2 linked regions of the Daphnia pulex genome follow. The protein of the gene in region 2 binds, or shares a complex with, the protein of the main gene of each other region. Links are inferred from orthologs where the notes say so. Each region holds a gene or a part of one and is shown on either strand. Other genes may lie near its edges. The genes, in order: nuclear cap-binding protein subunit 2-like and nuclear cap-binding protein subunit 1-like.

Evidence for each region.
Region 1: nuclear cap-binding protein subunit 1-like (region 2) and nuclear cap-binding protein subunit 2-like share a complex: the UniProt entries of both Caenorhabditis elegans proteins name them as parts of the nuclear cap-binding complex. The link is inferred for Daphnia pulex from reciprocal best matches to the Caenorhabditis elegans genes ncbp-1 and ncbp-2.

What each region holds. Positions count from the first base shown.
Region 1 is NC_060026.1:16,276,178-16,279,524, forward strand, and holds nuclear cap-binding protein subunit 2-like, read left to right. Parts: upstream 1-1,728; 5' UTR 1,729-1,924; coding exon 1,925-1,963; intron 1,964-2,108; coding exon 2,109-2,195; intron 2,196-2,255; coding exon 2,256-2,350; intron 2,351-2,414; coding exon 2,415-2,553; intron 2,554-2,611; coding exon 2,612-2,710; 3' UTR 2,711-2,807; downstream 2,808-3,347. Other genes in the region: hsp70-binding protein 1-like, read right to left, coding at 182-250, 317-525, 585-740, 801-1,022, 1,087-1,372. UniProt on the Caenorhabditis elegans protein: Component of the cap-binding complex (CBC), which binds co-transcriptionally to the 5' cap of pre-mRNAs and is involved in various processes such as pre-mRNA splicing and RNA-mediated gene silencing (RNAi).
Region 2 is NC_060022.1:6,378,277-6,382,615, reverse strand, and holds the start of nuclear cap-binding protein subunit 1-like, read left to right. Parts: upstream 1-1,501; 5' UTR 1,502-1,625; coding exon 1,626-1,656; intron 1,657-1,721; coding exon 1,722-1,999; intron 2,000-2,054; coding exon 2,055-2,248; intron 2,249-2,315; coding exon 2,316-2,487; intron 2,488-2,547; coding exon 2,548-2,769; intron 2,770-2,829; coding exon 2,830-2,930; intron 2,931-2,991; coding exon 2,992-3,163; intron 3,164-3,227; coding exon 3,228-3,395; intron 3,396-3,455; coding exon 3,456-3,708; intron 3,709-3,767; coding exon 3,768-3,901; intron 3,902-3,967; coding exon 3,968-4,292; intron 4,293-4,339. Other genes in the region: uncharacterized protein LOC124196162, read left to right, coding at 1-107, 198-356, 446-633. UniProt on the Caenorhabditis elegans protein: Component of the cap-binding complex (CBC), which binds cotranscriptionally to the 5'-cap of pre-mRNAs and is involved in various processes such as pre-mRNA splicing and RNA-mediated gene silencing (RNAi).

The sequences.
Region 1 (3,347 bases), on a different chromosome or scaffold from region 2:
ATTACGATAACAAAATTAGAGAACACCGTTCACGCTTCGATGGTTCACGAGAGAGTAAACAAACAAAAACGTAAAGATTATCAAAAGGACGTCGGTGTGTGTATTGCGCCTCCATATCATGAGCCTCTTTGTTTGCTTTTTAAATTCTCTTTCTATTGCCAGCAATCGAATGCCAATAACTTCACCTGTCTTCGACAATGTCTTCCTTGAAAATCACCGACAACAAAGTACGGCAATACTCGGCTTCCTCCTATCAAATGAAAATTCAAAGTTTAAAATTCGATTTCATTTTCAAGTATTGACTAATAATTATTACCAGACATTCGTCGCGATCTCCGATTAATTCGATGCGGTTGTCGAGAAATTCACGAAAGAGAAACTCTGATCTACGGCACTCCTCGATCGATGGGGGGTGGCTCTGGGTAAGTGCCAGCAAGGCGGCCAGTAGATGTTCGTGAGTCGAGTCGTGATCTCGTTGAAGCAGAGCCACAAACTGCTCCACAAATCCCATATTACATAAAGTATCTAGTAAACAGGGTATTGGTTAGAGTACAAATGGAGAAACTTATGAATGTGAATAAAACCTTTGAAGGATGGATTCTCATTGCATAAACAAGTCAACAAGAATGAAGCCTTGATTTTCAGTTTCCCGAGTGATGATTGCAGTGCTCTCAGTAAAGACGAGAAACCATCACAATGCACAAATGCATCCTGGGCTTCTGCACATTCTCTTGTCAAACCTATAATCAATCAATTGTTAACTGAATTCCCTTAGTGTGAGTTGTAAATCTGCTCATTACATGAAATGGCGTACAGGGCTTTGATTCTCGCCTCTTCACAGTCATCGTTTTCCAGCATTTTAAGCAAAATTGGCAATAGGTCTTCGTTGAGCACATGCTGTTGGCAGTATGGGTTGTTCTGGGTGAGGGTGCCAATCAACTGACAGCACCTCCAACGAACTCCATCGTGGGGAGAATTCAAACAGGGGATGAGGATGAAAAATCCTCCTATCTTGTGAAAGTCTGGAGAAACAAGCGAAACAAGTGTCAATGTTTTATTCAATCAATAAAAAAAGATATCTCATACCATTAGCCGTGTCCATGGAATCGGCAAAGTCAGTAATCATTTCCAATGCTTCCTCCATCTCCTGGGGATCTTCTTCAGGACTTTCGACTCGATCTGGATTGAGGATATTTAACGATTTTGATATTTCGGCTACAACGTCGACTGACAATCCTCTTAGAGCTTCTTCTAACCAGCGTCTCCTTTCTTCACTCATCGATGTGGTTGTGGTACGATCTTCAGCTGCGGTGCCTTCGATGGCAAATCTTAAAAGTCCTTGCATATCTCTTGGTTGTCGTGGGGGTTCCATTGTTTTGCTAAGGATCTCAACAACAACTTGTTATATATTTATGAAGAATAAGACGCAGTACGCAAGTTAAACCGTGAACGCATGGGGCAAGCAGACGTCAATGAAACTGTTTACTAGCAAAATCAAGAAGAGTCTGGAATAAAAAGAGCCATCTAGGCATGACTCGCATAACTTAAAAAATTTTGACATTTACAAAACAAACCTGTTAAGTTAATTAAGATTTGGATAAAATTCATTGAGATTTTAAAAAATTATTGAAAAAATCTGCGAAAGTGTGTCATATTTTTATTTGGTTTTTAATTGTAGTTTAACGCCGGAATGGGTTTCTAGCAAGTGACGTAACCTAGCGGCCGCCATAAGCATCTTTTCGAAAGTCACTCGCGTCAGGTTTGTTGTGTCAACGCACACTTTTTTTTAGAAAAAAACCACACCAATTTTAGTAATTTAAAACGCATAAAGTTTAGCCGGTTGATTGGCTGAATACAAGGACACTTAATTCGGAAGACACTGGGGTGAACGGTGTGATTGGTTCTCCCGAAATAATTCGTAGAAATGGCGGTTCCAAGCACATACCGAGACCAACATTTCAAAGTAAGCCTCATGAGTTGATAGCAGAATTGAAAATGTAACTTAATATACAGTTTTGAGGCAATTAATGTTTAAATGGAAATGCATACCTTAATAATTAAAAATATTTTGATATTTCAAGCCAAAATAACTGATTTCCATCTTTCAGGGTTCCCGGGTAGAGCAGGAGCGTCTGTTGAGTCAATCTTGCACCCTGTATGTTGGAAACTTGTCCTTTTACACAACTGAAGAACAGGTTAAATACTTCCAAGTCAACAATTGGTTCCATTTGATTTCATCTTTTCAAATATTTTAGATCCATGAATTGTTTGGGAAATGTGGCGATGTCAAGAGAATCATCATGGGATTGGACAAGTTTACTAGGACCCCTTGTGGATTTTGTTTTGTAGAGTAAGTCATTGCAACCAAATCCAATAACAAAATTGTGTTTAATTATTTCTAATTATCTTTCAAGGTTTTACCTGAGGAATGATTCAGAAAATGCCATCAGGTTTGTGAATGGGACAAGACTGGATGACAGAATTGTGAGAACTGACTGGGATGCTGGCTTCATTGAAGGAAGGCAATATGGCAGAGGCAAAACTGGAGGACAGGTCAGCATTTCGTCAGCTCAAACTTATTGTTCTCAACTAATGGATTTCTGTTTTGCAGGTGAGAGATGAATACCGAACTGACTTTGATGGTGGCAGAGGAGGATGGGGCAAAATGATTCAGCAGAAGGTGGCCACATCTGCTGCTGCTAACAATTGATAACATTTCTAAATACTGTATTCATTCATCTCTGTGTGTTTTTTTTTTTAACAAATGTCAACAAGTGTTATCCTCAATTAAAACAGACCATGCTGAATTGATTTCCTAAACAAAATCTTTTTTACCTGTGAAAGAAGACGTTTCTCGTCATGTTTCCATCTGCCAGTCCGGTTGGCCTGGATTTTATCGATCGAAAAGTGGGGACACTAGAATCTCTTGCCATGTGATCTGTCACTCCCAAAGCTTTTTCCTTTTCAAAGCGAAGCGGGTAGTTTCCCAGAAGAGCTTTTGCGGCCGCGTGATGCACGCCATCATCTACATGCAAAGAAATATTTGAATATTCAATTCCCAGTGGTCGTCTGCAACTTATAACGAATGTCACAATTGAATTTGTGTCAAATGTGAAGCTAATTCAATGATCATTGATCAATTAGATGATTTCCAAAATGGAAATGGTATCGATTTCTGATTGCTCGGTAGTTGTTTAGTTATTCCAAATTAAAACTAACTTATTTATCGTTCGAAGAAAGAATGTGCTTGACGTGACATTCAACGTGCATCTGAACTACCAGGAAAATTGTACTGAGTGAGTGTGTGTGTATCTGGTGTTGGCTGTTTGAATATTTCTGGGCGACGG
Region 2 (4,339 bases):
GCAATCATTTAGAAGAAAATTCAAGGGGGATTTTGAAGAAACTGAAAAAGGGTTCTGTGACAGCCAGGGAAATGGTGAAAGATTAAGCACAAACAATTCTTTACCAGGTATGGCTCATGTGGTTGTTAGCAGACTTCCATTCATCGTTAATTTTATTATTCACTCTTCATTGTTCATCATTTCTTTTTGTATTCAAGTTGTAGTCATTGCAGCGGAATCTTTATCCACCAGTTCAGTGAATAACAGTAGTGTCCCATCAACAACAAATCCTGCTGTGGAGAAAAGTGTGAATGCGGGCCGTAAACGGGCCGAGAGCACACGTACAAGAGACTCAAGTACGAACAATTCTTTACCAGGTATGGCTCATGTGGTTGTTAGCATACTTCCATTCACCATTAATTTTATTATTCACTCTTCGTTTTAATCATTTCTTTTTGTATTGTAGTCAATGCAGCGGAATCTGTAGGCCTATCCACTAGTTCAACGGATGACAGTTATTGTGTGTCAAGCAATCCTGCAGGCTTAATCAATGCCGCTCATCAAGCTGATGTTCGTTCCATTCCATCCACAGTTTGCACTACGAGCCAAGTTGTGAATTGTAGCCAAGGTATACGGACGATTCGGCAAATTTGACGTTTGCCGAATTGGTTTTTGCCGAATTGGTTGACTTTGTTATTTTCCCGAATCGTACATACCAATTCGGTAAAAAGCCAATTCGGCAAAATTGTTTAAAATGCCGTTGTAAGGCCAGTGGCGCTAGCTGTGTGGGTTTCGGGTAATCAGCGCCACCACCAACACGCGAATTATACTGTCTTTCCCGAGAGATCTTTGAGCCCTTCCCGACATAAACACAAAACAAAGTGGAACCTGCTTTAACTGCCCATTCTTTTTTAGAAAACCATGGAGGGAAAATAGTTGAGTGAAAGGGAAGTTTATTATTTTAAAGGTTCCGTCGGCATACCATCGAACGGCAGTTTTCAAAAGCGCTAGTTGTTCGTCAGTCATGAAAATTAAATGACGTTTAGAACCAACTACAACTTCTCCTTTAAAAAACGAAGTGGGCATTAAGTCCATTTTGATTTGAAAAAAAAGATCAATTGGGTTTTTAGCAGTGCGCTTTGCTTTTACCCGATTTACAGCCCTAGCTAACGTTGTGGGGTTAATTGGGTTCCACAGTATTTGCCGCCAATTTACATTTGCACAGTTGCCGAATCGACTTTTGCCGAATCGGTAATTTCATAGGTGACAATTCGGCAACTTTGCCGAAACGGTTTTCGGCGATTTGCCGAAATGGTTTTTGCCGAATCGTCCGACATTCGTAGCCAATTTCACCTAAATTGAATTCAACAAATCCCATTTTTGCGTGAATTTAATTCAATTCAGCTGAATATAAACTGAATTGAATTTTTGCGCCAAATTGCGTTGCCTAAAATAAACAATTTTTACAGCTACGTTGTCAAGTTATGTAAACTATTTTCACGATCATCGAAGTTTATGATTTCATCAATAGATGGCGTCAAATTAACAGCTTCTTTAATAGCTCCATATGACAAACAGTCAAACAGGGTGGTAGTAGTTTGTCTGTCTTGTAAGCGTCGTAGACCAATTTAAAATAAAATCAAAGAATGAGTCGTAGGAAACGTGATGATGGATATGGTAAGGATTACAACTTATTGAAGAATTTGATGACATTATAAAAAGTTATTTGTTTAAAATTACAGAACATGGGTATCGTAAAAGGCGCAGAGTTGTCTCGGAGCAGGCAGAAATTGAAGACCGGTTAGAATCTCTTATTATCAGGGTTGGAGACAAAACGTCATCATCTTTAGAAAGCAATTTAGAAGGGCTTGCTTCAGTATTAGAAGCTGATTTGAACACGTACAAGAGTAAAATATTACGTATTTTGTCGGAATGCCCAATCCAAATGCCAGAGAAATGTACTATCTACAGCACATTAGTTGGTCTTCTGAATGCTAAAAACTATAATTTTGGAGGAGAGGTTTGTTTTAAAATTGTACTTTCAGTTTTTAAGATACAAGTATATCTTTTTTTAGTTTGTGGAACAAATAGTGAGAAACCTAAAAGAAGCTCTCCGTGAGGGGCAATGGGAATCTGCTCGTTTAATTGTACGTTTCATATCTGACATGGTCAACTGTCACATAGTCTCTGCCTCTTCCTTGCTACAGTTATATGACAGTTTTATTGACGCTGCCATGGAACAAGGAGTTCCTCAGGTTCGACGAGACTGGTAATTAAATTTTTGTTTTATTCTAAAGCAAGAGTAATGTAGATCACAACACTGTATCAATTTACAGGTACATGTATGCGTTGTTGACGGCGCTTCCTTGGGTTGGTCGAGAGCTTTTTGAAAAGAAAGAAAATGATCTTGAACGTATAATGGCAGCAATGGAAGGTTATCTTCGCAGAAGAAATACTGCTCATGTCGCTGCTCTTCGAGTTTGGAATTGTGAAACTCCGCACCCACAGGTCAGAAATGGCATGGCATTTTAATAATAATTGAAAAATTTCGAAAAACGTTCTTTCTAGGAAGAATACCTGGAATGTCTTTGGGCTCAAGTACGGAAATTGCGGACAGACGAGTGGCAGGAAAGACACATTTACCGTCCATATTTAGCTTTTGATTCTATCCTCTCTGAAGCTTTGCAACACAATCTCCCGGTCATTCTACCTCCGCCTCACACAGCTAGTACGCAATATCCGCTACCATGGGTTGTTTTCAGGATGTTTGATTACACTGACTGTCCAGAAGTAAGTTAAACGCTTTCAAAAGTGTGTATCGTGCGTATTTAACTCGGGACTCATTTTCAGGCTGGTCCACTTTTACCAGGAACTCATTCAGTAGAGCGTTACTTGATTGAGGAACATTTACACCAGATCATCACTCGTCATCATAACGAACGCAAGGAACTGTGAGTTTCAACTTGACAGAAACGTTTGTGCAGATAATAGTAAATTAATTTTGCTTTTCAGAGCCACCCAATTGTTGGCGTTCCCACAGAGAAATAAGATCCCTTTGGAATACATGATAGTTGAAGTTCTCTTCTCAGAACTTTTCCAAATGCCTTCCCCTCGTTACTTGGAGATTGCTTATGGTTGTACTTTGATAGAACTTTGCAAGCTTCAACCAAGTACAATGCCTCAGGTGAAAATATGATCTTACAGTAGAAACTTGAACATTTTCATTTGACTTTTTATTTCACAACCAGGTGTTAGCACAGGCTACGGAGTTGCTTTACGAAAGAATTGATACCATGAATGCCACCTGCTTTGATAGATTCGTTTCTTGGTTTTCTTACCATCTCAGTAACTTTCAATTCCGCTGGAGTTGGGATGACTGGCAGAATTGTCTTTCACTCGAAAAAGACCACCCCAAGGTAAATGTTTAAAAAAATGAAATTTTTCGAAATCTATCTAAAGGAACACTTAAATTTCAGGCAAAATTTGTTTCTGAAGTGTTCGGGAAATGTTTGAGACTCTCCTATCACAAGCGCGTGACTGAAATGGTGCCTGAATGTTACTCACCGCTGTTGCCCCCGAAACCAGAACCGTACTTTAAATACCAAATTGAAGGAGGAAATGGTTTTCCTGGGGCTGCTCAAGTCCAGACTTTGACTGAGCTCCTAAGAAAAAAGCCAACGCCTGAAGAAGTACTAGAGTTGGTCCAGCAACTACCGAATCCTCTCAAAGGTAAATATGGTGGATACAATATGTATAACTTCAAGCCATTTTGATGCAATTGTAATTAGATGACGACGGGGATATGGAGCCTTCACACAATCCTCTAGCAATTGAAGTATTTGTTCAGACTCTGCTACATTTGGGATCGAAGAGTTTTACGCATACTTTTGCAGGTCTCGCTAAATATCATTCAGTCTTCAAGGTATTTTCAACAGATTGAAATGTTATCGATAGTATAAAACGATTCAATTTTACGTTTCTGTCATAGAATATTTGTGAGAATGAAGAGGCACAGATCTGTATGCTTCGTCAAGTTTATGAGCTCTGGCAACACCACCCACAATTTTTAGGAGTGGTAGTTGATAAGATGTTAAAGACACAAATTGTTGAGTGTTGTGCCGTAGCAAATTGGATCTTTTCACGAGACATGGCACCCGAGTTCACTCGTTCGTACATTTGGGAGGTCTTGCACTTGACTATTCGCAAAATGAACAAACACGTCGTCCGTCTAGAGAAAGAGGTGGCGGATGCACGCGCTAAACTCAGAGCTGCACCATCTGATTCGGAATCATCTGATGAAGATCCATCTAGAGGTGCGAACAACTTTGGATTAATGTTAATCATTCGCTTAATTTTTTTT